3 linked regions of the Nothobranchius furzeri genome follow. The protein of the gene in region 3 purifies or fractionates together with the protein of the main gene of each other region. This does not show direct contact. Links are inferred from orthologs where the notes say so. Each region holds a gene or a part of one and is shown on either strand. Other genes may lie near its edges. The genes, in order: narfl, ireb2 and ciao2a.

Region 1 (4,439 bases), on a different chromosome or scaffold from region 3:
TGCTAATTTTACACTTGGATCAGACTGCACTTTCAGTGAGGCCACTTTCTTCCTGTGGCCTCGACCCAACTGGCCACTGATTTCATCTGGATCAAAAGAGACAAAACATCAGTCCAGCAACACATCAAGTACACACCTACAATTAAATCTGCAGACTAAAAACACGACTAGAAATAAATGACCAACCGATAAACTCTGCAATCATTCATTTAAAGGTGCAATAAGGGATGATAAAACTGACCCACCATCAGAGATCACTACTGGTTTATCTGCTTCTGCCCTTTTCACCTCTGAGGAAGAACTTCCATTTTCAGCAGTGACCTGCATATATGAGGACACCAATGCTACTTCTCTTGATGCCGTTTAGACTGATTTATCCACACAGCCCCACCCAGATAGCTCCTACCTTTTGGCCGCCATCCTGACTAGCATTCTGAGCCTCCACACGTTTGCAGCCGTGCTGCAGTTTGTGCTGGATGAAAGCCTCAAGGGTGGAGAACTCGGACTGGCAGCGACCACATTTGTGCACATCATCTAGTAGCACAGAAACGGACCCAACCAGCATGAACCAATATCATAATTAGTGCCACAAACTGATTACTGTTTAATGTATTCGTGTCTGATTCACCCCAAACAGTGTGTACTTCCACCTAAAAATACGAAACTATGCTGCTCGTGTCAGTTAGCTGTTAGCTAGACATCACCTCGGTGAAAGTTAGCGTAGCCCAAACGCGTTAAATGATAAACAAATTCGGCTTGTTTGATACAGCCAGGTGACAAACCTTCATCTCCTAGTGTGGTCTGAATAGTAATGGTCTCGTTGCCGTTCTTCTCTGTTTCTGCCGTATGATTATTTTCCACATTCATGTCGTTTGAATTCTCCGTCTCTGTCGCAACGCTGCAGCGGGGAGGGAAAACATGGCGGATTACGACCCCGTAGTCATAACAACAAAAGGGCGCGTGCATGATTCTCTCACAGCTAATAAAGTGAAATTAAACATTTCTGATTTCGTTTTAGTCACCTTAATTTTTTCTTCAGTAAAATAGACAGGATTCACTCTGCTGCGTTGCTTTCATAGGCTATGATTTTGGCCAAATGTTTCTCTACAAATAAATTATTGTTTTTCATTCAGCTACAGGCACTTTTTATATTTAGAATGAGCAACAGAGAAAAGTAATGCTATTTGTTGTAGGAATAAAATGAAATATTACTTATGGACGTCTTCATGTCCAGTCCTACAACTAACAAGTGTTATTTGGGCAAATGTTAAAAACAAACAAACAAACAAAAAATAAACATTTTTACATCTCTGATATTTACATTTAATTTGTTCCATTGTTACAGAGAAAGTTAAATATACATTTTTTTGGTACTTATTATTAAAAATTTGATAGTTTGTCATTTGACCAAAATGAATGATAATTTAACATATGATAAGAGGTATTTAGTTTGATCACGCCTGTCTTGTAACCATAGACTGTACAGCTTGTAACCCAGTATTCACGACACAAGAGTAAACAACAACTTTACGGTAGTAAACATGGCTTCCCACTTCAGCGGAGTCTTGCAGCTAACAGATCTCGATGATTTTATCACTCCTTCTCAGGTCGGTCACTGAAATAATGTGAAATTAAGTCGTGTATTGGATTAATTACAAGTGGGTGAAACAGTAATTATGAACAATTCACCGGTCGTGACATTTAGGGAACAATTGACGGATTAATTATGGCGATGTAGCAGCTAGCACACGATTAGGCTTTTCGTAGAGAGAAACTTCTCATAAAATATAGGAACATTGAGTATTGGCTGAAGCTCATCACGAGTCGATGATTACTTTTTGATTTGTAACAAGTTGTAAAGTTTTACTTTTTTAAAACTATGGCGTAATTACGTCACTAGTCCATGCCGTAACCTGTGTAAAGACAAATTAAATCACTGAAATAAAACACTTTCAAAGACTAAATTAAATCAATCGTATTGGCTGACATATTCAGACATTTTTAAACACACTAAATGTCAGTTATAGGCAAATAAAGACAAACTATATTTTAGCTAGTTCTTTAGAAGAAGAAGAAAATATTTCTATAGTGCCTCTCAAGATAAAAATCAGGAGGCGCTTCACAAAAACAAAACATGTAAAAATATAAAAACGAATTTAGAAAATGGTTAAAAATATATTTAAAATGTGCAAGAAATAGACACTAGTGATTAAAAAACAAAATGTTAAGAAAGAGAGAGAGAGAGTGAGTAGGAAAGAGGGAAATCAGTGGATCCTGAGGAAGGTGGAATAGGTGGGGAGAGCAGAATAAAGAGAGAGTGGTGAAGAAGGTCATACCAAAGCCAGCTTGAACAAGTGTGTTTTCAGCTGCTTTTTAAATGAGACCACTGAGTCCACTGATCTCAGACTCAGGGGGAGAGAGTTCCAGAGTCTGGGGGCCACAGGATGTGCTGAAGAGGGAGCAGATAGAGGAGGAAGAGCAGAGGCCCCAGCACAGAACCTTGTGGGACACCATGGGTAAGAGAGGTGGTGGAGGACCTAAACTTGGAGACGGCCACAGAAAAGGAGCGCTCAGAAAGATAAGAGGAGAACCACTCCAGAGCAGATCCTGATAGGCCGACCCAGTCTCTCAGCCTCTCCAGTAGCAGGTGATGGTCAACAGTGTCAAAGGCTGCAGTCAGGTCCAGCAGGACCAGGACAGAACAGTCCCCTGCATCACTGTGAGTCAGAAGGTCATTAGAGACCCTAAGAAGAGCTGTTTCAGTAGAATGAGCTCTACGAAAACCTGACTGAAAGCTATCATAGATGTTATGTTCATCAAGAGCAGCTGTGAATTGTTTAGCCACAACCTTTTCCAAGATCTTGGAGATGAACGGAAGTTTAGAGATGGGTCTGAAGCTGCTATGGAGAGAGGGGTCAAGACTCGGTTTTTTAAGAAGCGGATGGATTACAGCATTCTTAAAGTAAGCAGGGACCTGACCAGAAACCAGAGAAGCATTATTTATAGAGCGCACGCTGGGACCGATGGACTGAAAAGCAATTTTAAACAAAGATGAGGGTAAGATGACGAGGGGGCATGCAGAGGTCTTCATAGAGTTAACTAGTTTGGTTAACTCAGGCAAAGAAACAGGAGCAAAGCTATCTAGGATGATGGGCCTGGTTGGAGTCGGGAGAGGCAGCGGTAAGGCTGAAGGAGAGATGCTAGATCTAACCTTATTGACTTTGTCCACAAAGAAAGACAGAAAGTTCTCACAGTCTGCAACAGAGTGGATGGAGGCTGTAGGAGAGGCAGGAGAGACAATGCTGCTGATGGTGTTAAACAGCACCTTGGGGTTCCCTTTGTTTTTATTAAACAATTGAAAAATTGAGGACACTCTCAGTATGAAGTAATGAAATTTTTCTTAGACCCAAATGAATCAGTAATGTTTTGTTTTTTCTTATGAAAACAGATAATTTTGTGTAAATTTTACAGTTTTTCAGATTATTCTCCCCATGCAATAGTGCTTAGTCATATTTCTCAGATGCTTTTGGATGTGATGATTGATCTCATTTACAATAGCGGTTTACACATTGGTGTGTTTTCCAGGAATGTGTTAAACCAGTCAAAGTAGAGAAGAAACAGGGTAAATCTGTGGCCAAAATCCAAATAGAAGATGACGGCAGCTATGTGCAGGTCAACCAGGTGGGTATCCTTGCTCAGTCTTTAATCAGTTTGAGAATTATTAAACCAAGTTTGAATGAACACACCCTGTGTTTACAGGATGGTGGGAAGCAGAAGCTGGAGAAGGCCAAGATCACACTGAACGACTGTCTGGCCTGCAGTGGCTGTATCACCTCGGCTGAGAGTGTCCTCATCACTCAGCAGAGCCACGAGGAGCTTTTAAAAGTGCTGCGCAACAACAAGGTAGACGTGTGTCTCTGAGCTTGTTCATTTTTGTTTTGCAAGTTTTGCATTCCGTCTAACCTTAATACAATAAGTGTTGTGATTATTTAGATTAACGAAGCAGAAAAGAAGATTGTAGTTGTGTCGGTGTCGCCTCAGTCCAGAGCCTCCCTGGCAGCTCACTACAACCTCAGCAGCAGTGAGGCAGGCAGGAGGCTCACAGCTTACCTCAAAAACCTGGGTGTGGACCTTTTCTGTTTTTATATCATGCAACACCTAAGCAGATAATCTGAAGATTATTCCTGGGGGTGCTTTTGGCAGGGGTTCATTGCGTGTTTGACACCAGCTTCAGTCGGACCTTCAGTCTGTTGGAGAGTCAGAGGGAGTTTGTGGAGCGTTTCCATCGGAAGGAGCAGGACAGCAAGGCCGTTCCCATGCTGACGTCTGCATGTCCAGGTGTACAGCAAAAACATAGCCTCATGAACACTGAACAGAACGCCAGAGCTGCCAGTGCTCCACAGATCGTCATCATAACCAGGATTCTCCTCCTCTCTGTT
Region 2 (3,653 bases), on a different chromosome or scaffold from region 3:
GATGTGGGCGAGTCACTGCAGGCAGCTTTACTACAAGAGCCTCTCCGGTCTCCACACTGGAAGTCCCCTCTGATGAAAGGCCTGGAGGCAGTGGAGCGAGAGGAGGCCTGGTTCTGGGTGGGACCGTCCCCTCCGCCAGGATTGGGAGTGTTCTGTATGGCACTGGAGATAAAACTTACATTAAAGAATAAACTTCTATTACCCCATTTACTCAAAGTTCTTGAAACCGACCATCTAAGACACAGACCATTTACTAAAATCAATCTGGAAAGAGTGGTCTACTATCAGGTCCGTGGGACACTTAGGGTTGATTAGAGCGGGGTCCACACCGTGTTTGGCTACAGCGTCCCTCATGGCGGCCAGGTCCACCATAGCAGGAATCCCTCTGTCAGAAGAAAACATCAAAACAGAAAATCAGCCTTCTTCATGGAGTTAGGTAAACCAGGGAAACCCACTCACTTGGTTATGAGCTTCATAATTCTTTAATTTAAGGTTTTGACCTAAAATCAAACAAACTCACGTGAAATCCTGCAGAATGACTCGTGCAGGTGAGAATGGCACCTCAGCTTTATCCTGTTGCTCCTGCCAGGCAAGGATCTTCTGCACATCTTCCATTTTTGTGTAAAAACCATCACAGTTACGAATGGCTGCCTCCAGTAGGACGCGGATAGAAAAAGGAAGTTTGTCTAAGGGACAAGATCAAAGGTATGTGTTGAGCTGCTCACTGTCCATGTCACCACCCTGCTCACATCTGCATGTTTTCACATGAAATCAGTGCAAGTTGCATCATTCATAAACATACAACAACGCTGACTCCTCATCAAACAGGCACATCTCCAGTGGGAGGGCCAAAACTCACCATATCTTGGATCGTTTAATTTTTGTGGATTGAAGAACTTGATCCTGCCATCTTTAAGGGTGTCGATTAGATGGTGGAATGGGTGCTCTGCAGAGAAGATATAAACAGTTCTAGAGCCAGAACCCTTCAAGTCCTCGGTGCGGCTGCTAGAGGACTTCCAGCTTCATTTTATGAAACCAAAGAAGGATGCCACCTCCCTTCTTATGTCTTTAAGCCAGATTAGTAAACAAAAACAGACAGAAGGCCACACCTACTCTCTATAGCGCTGCTCGTCTCTAAAGCCCGCCTCTCGCCCCCTGCCCCTGAGATCACACCAATCAGATACCAGCATTTATTCACCTAGAAGAACTGTCGAAGTTCAAACAGACTTGTTTCAGCGTAGCTCACAGACATGAAAACAGGTGAAGGGGGTAAAAGGTGTTTAGCCTGGTCCTCAGCTGTGAGGGCGGGGACATAGAGAGGACATCAGGTGATGGGTTGTTGGTTAGGGTTAGGGTTTTAGTGAGCAGATGTCATTTCACACACCATTGCTTTTTAAAATGTTATTTAATTATATTTAAAAGTAAACTTGAGCATTAAAAACTAAATAAATCATTGATGAAAGATAAATAAATAACATAATTAGCCTAGTTTGTCTCATTTCAGAAACGTGACAAAGCACGAAGCAGGCTCTGCTGCTGAAAACACTGAAACCATAAAGAATCCTAAATTGGTTGGATGCTTAAATGATATTCGCTGATAATAATAATAATAATAATCATCCATCCATCCGTTTTCAGATGCTCATCCAGAGTCGAGTCGGGGGGGGGGGGGGGGGGGGGAGCCTAAGCCCCTCCCACATTAGTGTATACAGAAAAAGAATAATAAAATAAAGAGACCATTTCTCCGTCGAAGAAAGTGGGTTATGTATTGTAACCCCAGATTCTATGAGTATAGCTCCGCCCTTTAAGCCATCACTTATTCGATTAAAGGCGGAGCCCGATGTAGTCAACGCCACACTGGTTAAGAACCAAACCTGAGCGGACTCTGAGGCTTCTGCCCAAACAAGTCTCCACAGCTGCCAGCAGGCGCAAATATGTGCGAGCAGCTGGAGAACACGATGATGTAGCATACAGCTGATGAGAATCAACCCTAAAGGTTGCCTAGCAACAGGCAGGAATGTGGAGGTTGTCATCATCAAGAACAACACCATGTGAAACATGGTCAGAACATGGAAGTGCGGGTGCATATGAACATAAGGGTAAGAAACGAAATGGCAGTTTCTGTATCCAAACCTCAGCAACAGTTGTGAACAGGCAGAACTGTGAGCCAGCACCACATTAGCAGCTAGGCTGGTGGACACACCTCTGAGGTAAAACCTCACAAAGGAAGATGGTGATGACCATAAAGCAAGCCATGCATATGTCTGCTATAGACATGTTTGTGTATGTAGCAGACGGTTTTGGCCAAAGCGACTTACAGGTGATAATGAAGCAGCAGCTTCATTATCACCTGAGGCTAACAACAACAACACTATTCAGTCAATCCTAGGTAGCAGTGAGGCAGCATAACCAATCCTAGAGGGAAGTGAACACAGAGTGGGAAGTAGAGTGGGGGAGGGGTAGACAAGACAAAGTATGAATGAGATGATGGTTGTACAGGATGACAGATGATGAATGTGGTGGAAAGTAAGCAAGATGCTTGTAGCAAAACCTTGCTACAGAAGAAGAAATCGCCCATGTGGAATGTGCCTTTAAACTGTCGGAAGCATCCAGACCAGAGGACGCATAGGCGATCGTGATGATGTCACACTGTCATTATGTAAGACGCTGAGATGACAGAGGCTGCCACAGAGAAACAATCTATCTGTGTGAGCAAATGCAGCAGGTGTGACGCAGCATCTTTCTCTGACTCATGAGGAGGAGGAAAAAAACCCCGCCAGAGAAATGGGTCTGGACCTGAAAGAGCTGATGATGCTATTGGGGATGAACGCAAGGTTGGGGCACAGAACAGCTGAACCCTCATCATCCCTGATCCTGAGGCAAGAGGGCGAGACAGAAAGAGCAGTCAGGTCACTCACTCTCTTGAATGACATCAGAGCCAGCAAAATTGCAACCTTAAGGGACAAAAAAATTCTGTGGAACTTGGCCCAAAGGCTGAAAGGGAGCCTGAGAATACCCAAGCAGAACCACAGCCAAAACCCATTGTGGAGTCAGAGATGCAGGAGCAGGTCTGAGCCTTTGAACGCCCTTTAAGAAGTGTTTGGTGAGGGGATGGCTACAGACAGATCTATCCCCATATCCCTGATGACAGGAGGAAACAGCCACATGTGCGGAACGCCTGCTCTGGACCACATCGAGTGACAGACTGAGACACACTAAACGTGGCCGTTCGGTGGTCAGACCCACAAATGCTGATCCAAGATCGGTGGGTGTCTGATGGTTCCACCTGCCTGCAGGAGTGCATCCTACCTCCAACGCAGGCACCACAGGCGTGCTTTCACCAGCAGCTGCAGTGAGGAGCCACCAGAATAAACAATAGTTGTTCCTGCCTGACTCGTACCAGGAGGCGTTGAATCAGCAGAACCGGGAGGATGCGTAAAGAAGGAGCCTGGGCCATGGTTTCTGGGCGAAAGCATCCTCACCGAGCAGGGCGAATTCCAGCAAGCTAAGAGAGAACCACGGCCTGCAGTGTGTGTTCTCACGAGACTAACAGATCCACAGCCACCTCCCCGAACCTGTCCCAAACCTGAAATATGAGATCAGGGTGGACATGCCACTCCGAGTTAGGTGGGCCACCTCTGAACATAATGTCC
Region 3 (3,653 bases):
GTTCACTTTGCTCAAATAGAAATAGAGGCCTGCCTCTAATACTGGCCCTCCTTCCAATAAAGGCCTGGAGCTTGATGAGCTTGAGTCAAATACAGGCCCGGGCCTGTATTAGAGGATTTACGGTATATGTATATACATATACGGTATGCTTGAGTCAAATACAGGCCCGGGCCTGTATTAGAGGATTTACGGTATATGTATATACATATACGGTGAATATGTGTATATATATATGTATATGTATGTATATATGTATATATGTATATACATATATATACACATATTCATATATATATATATATATATATATATATATACATATATATATATATATATATATATATATATATATATATACATATATATATATATCACGATAAGAGTCGTCTCAAGGCACTTCACATAATAAGCATTCCAATTCAGGTCAGTTCTTTAAGCCTATGAGAAATAATGTTTCGTATATAAGGAACCCAGCAAATTGCATCAAGTCACTGACTAGTGTCAGTGACTATACAGCAATCCTCATACTAAGCAAACATAAAGCGACAGTGGAGAGGAAAACTATATATATACATGTATATATATATATATATATATATATATATATATATATATATATATATATATATATATATATATATATATATATATATATACAGTTGTGGTCAGAAGTTTACATACACTTGTAAAAAATATAATATAATGGCTCTACTGAGTGTCCCGTTATTTCTAAAACTGATTTTTCTCTGATGGAGTGATTGGAACAGATACTTCTTTGTCACAAAAAACATTCATGATGTTTGGTTCTTTAATGTCTTTATTATGGGTTAACAGAGAAAAGTGATCACATTTGCTGGGTCACAAATATACATACAGCAACATGAACTAGCAATTTTGGTGACAGAAACGTGTCAGTGAACTGAGCTTCATAGCATGGCCTCTTAACTTCTTGTGAGTGATTATGAGTGACTACAGCTGGTGACTTCTCTTAGGCCAGGTAAATAGGGCTCATTGGATACAAACGCCCACAAACGCTACAATGGGAAATTCAAAGGAGCTCAGCATGGATCTGAAAAAGCGAATTATTGACTTGAACAAGTCAGGAAAGTCACTTGGGGCCATTTCAAAGCAGCTGCAGGTCCCAAGAGCAACAGTGCAAACAATTGTTTGTAAGTATAAGGTGCATGGCACTGTTTCATCACTGCCAAGATCAGGAAGAAAACGCAAGCTATCACCTGCTGCTGAGAGAAAATTGGTCAGGAGGGTAAAGAGTGAACCAAGAATCACCAAAAAGCAGATCTGCCAAGAATTAGAAGCTGCTGGAACACAGGTGTCATTGTCCACAGTCAAACGTGTTTTGCATCTCCATGGACTGAGAGGCTGCCGTGCAAGAAGGAAGCCCTTGCTCCAAAAGCGGCACCTTAAGGCTCGACTGAAGTTTGCTGCTGATCACATGGACAAAGGTAAGACCTTCTGGAGGAAAGTTCTGTGGTCAGACGAAACAAAAATCGAGCTTTTTGGCCACAATGCCCAGCAATATGTTTGGAGGAGAAAAGGTGAGGCCTTTAACCCCAAGAACACAATGCCTACAGTCAAGCATGGTGGTGGGAATATTATGCTGTGGGGCTGTTTTGCTGCCAATGGAACTGGTGCTTTACAGAGAGTAAATGGGATAATGAAGAAGGAGGATTACCATCACATTCTTCAACATAACCTAAAATCATCAGCACGAAGGTTGGGTCTTGGGCGCAGTTGGGTGTTCCAACAGGACAATGACCCCAAACACACATCAAAAGTGGTAAAGGAATGGCTAAATCAGGCTAGAATAAGGGTTTTAGAATGGCCTTCCCAAAGTCCTGACTTAAACCCCATTGAAAACATGTGGACAGTGCTGAAGAAACAAGTCCATGTCAGAAAGCCATCAAATTTAACTGAACTTCACCAATTCTGTCAAGAGGAGTGGTCAAAGATTCAACCAGAAGCTTGCCAGAAGCTTGTGGATGGCTACCAAAAGCGCCTAATTGAAGTGAAAATGGCTAAGAGACATGTAACCAAATATTAGCACTGCTGTATGTATATTTGTGACCCAGCAAATGTGATCACTTTTCTCTGTTAACCCATAATAAAGACATTAAAGAACCAAACTTCATGAATGTTTTTTGTGACAAAGAAGTATCTGTTCCAATCACTCTATCAGAGAAAAATCAGAGTTTTAGAAATAACGGGACACTCAGTAGAGCCATTATATTATATTTTTTACAAGTGTATGTAAACTTCTGACCACAACTGTATGTATATGTGTATATATATATGTATATACATATACATACATATTTATATATGTAGATATGTATATATATATATACATATATATAAATGTATATACATATACACACATATATATATAAATGTACATATAAATGTACATATATATGTAGATATGTATATATATATATATATTATATGTTATATATAAAACAAAACAATAAATTCATGACTCCGCATTGGTTTCAAACACATGTATTAGAGTTTTGCTGCTACCACCACTTCCCCTCTCAGGCTGCCCCACAGCCACGCCCCCTCCCGCCTTGCTGGCTCCTTGAAAACAACTTTGTTTTTTAACTCTGCTAGCCCAGCTGATTCAGCAGTTTGTTTGTGTTACTGATTTTTTGGTGCTTTTTCACTAGTCTCATGTTCTGAGTGGTGAAAATGATTAATTTCTCCAGTTAATAAACAGATCAACGATAAGGAGCGGGTGGCAGCCGCCATGGAAAACCCCAACCTGAGAGAGATTGTGGAGCAGTGTGTCACTGAACCTGATGACTGAAGGGCCCAATGCTACATCAATAACTTTTTTAAGTGCGTGTGCATGAGTGAACACATGGAGGAGGTTGGATGCTGGAATCAAGTCCAGCCTTTAAAGACAGCAGCACCAGTTGTTGCTGGTGAACAGCCTGGTGTTCCAGAAGAAGGTGAATAAAGGAAGAAGAGAACACACCTCCTGCTCTACTTTTATCTCTCAACTTTCTCTCCATCATTCCTGCTGTTCACCATTCATGTTTAATCAGAACAGAATAAAAATGGCTGTTTTTCATTGCATTGACTCCTATTAGATCTTTTGTAATTCCTCAGGTGATTACCTCTAATTTGATTTCAGAGTCTGGATGTTTAGGATGGGGTTTTATAAACAGAAATGAAATGCAAATAAACTCAGAATAAAATAATCAGGTTTGAATATAATCCTGTCTCCTGTGTATTTGAATCAGAGTAAGTGTTTCAGCAGTGCTTCCTACAGATAAAACGTTATTTTGCACACATCTTAGGTTTATTTATTAAGCACTTTTAAGTGCTTCTCAGACAAGAACAATAAAACTGATACAATGATCTTAGAAATAACTATCTCACACACACCCATTAACATCACTCTTAACCATATAAAACAATATAACATTAATGTCAACATATATTTTCTCTGAGTGCACACACAAACACTGATTATACCTCCACAGTAATATTTCATACAGGTCACACGAGCTGTAATGAGCTTTTAACTATCAAGTACAAAATGATACCAGCCAGGTTTTAGTTTGTGTACCACTCTTCAAAAAGCTGATTTGGATTGGCTGCATGTGTCACTGTAGCATCACTTGATC

Evidence for each region.
Region 1: the proteins of ciao2a (region 3) and narfl purify together in Homo sapiens (affinity purification with mass spectrometry; 4 studies listed by BioGRID and IntAct, with this or other methods). This does not show direct contact. The link is inferred for Nothobranchius furzeri from reciprocal best matches to the Homo sapiens genes CIAO2A and CIAO3.
Region 2: the proteins of ciao2a (region 3) and ireb2 purify together in Homo sapiens (affinity purification with mass spectrometry; 3 studies listed by BioGRID and IntAct, with this or other methods). This does not show direct contact. The link is inferred for Nothobranchius furzeri from reciprocal best matches to the Homo sapiens genes CIAO2A and IREB2.

Annotation. Positions count from the first base shown.
Region 1 is NC_091752.1:55,723,422-55,727,860, reverse strand, and holds the start of narfl (cytosolic Fe-S cluster assembly factor narfl), read left to right. Parts: upstream 1-1,493; 5' UTR 1,494-1,541; coding exon 1,542-1,607; intron 1,608-3,585; coding exon 3,586-3,681; intron 3,682-3,759; coding exon 3,760-3,903; intron 3,904-3,993; coding exon 3,994-4,123; intron 4,124-4,203; coding exon 4,204-4,338; intron 4,339-4,439. Other genes in the region: transcription factor E4F1, read right to left, coding at 1-86, 246-321, 407-534, 783-966.
Region 2 is NC_091754.1:45,150,437-45,154,089, reverse strand, and holds part of ireb2 (iron-responsive element-binding protein 2), read right to left. Parts: intron 947-3,653; coding exon 860-946; intron 687-859; coding exon 521-686; intron 386-520; coding exon 248-385; intron 163-247; coding exon 1-162. UniProt on the Homo sapiens protein: RNA-binding protein that binds to iron-responsive elements (IRES), which are stem-loop structures found in the 5'-UTR of ferritin, and delta aminolevulinic acid synthase mRNAs, and in the 3'-UTR of transferrin receptor mRNA.
Region 3 is NC_091744.1:55,351,596-55,355,248, forward strand, and holds the end of ciao2a (cytosolic iron-sulfur assembly component 2A), read left to right. Parts: intron 1-2,726; coding exon 2,727-2,827; 3' UTR 2,828-3,240; downstream 3,241-3,653. UniProt on the Homo sapiens protein: Component of the cytosolic iron-sulfur protein assembly (CIA) complex, a multiprotein complex that mediates the incorporation of iron-sulfur cluster into extramitochondrial Fe/S proteins.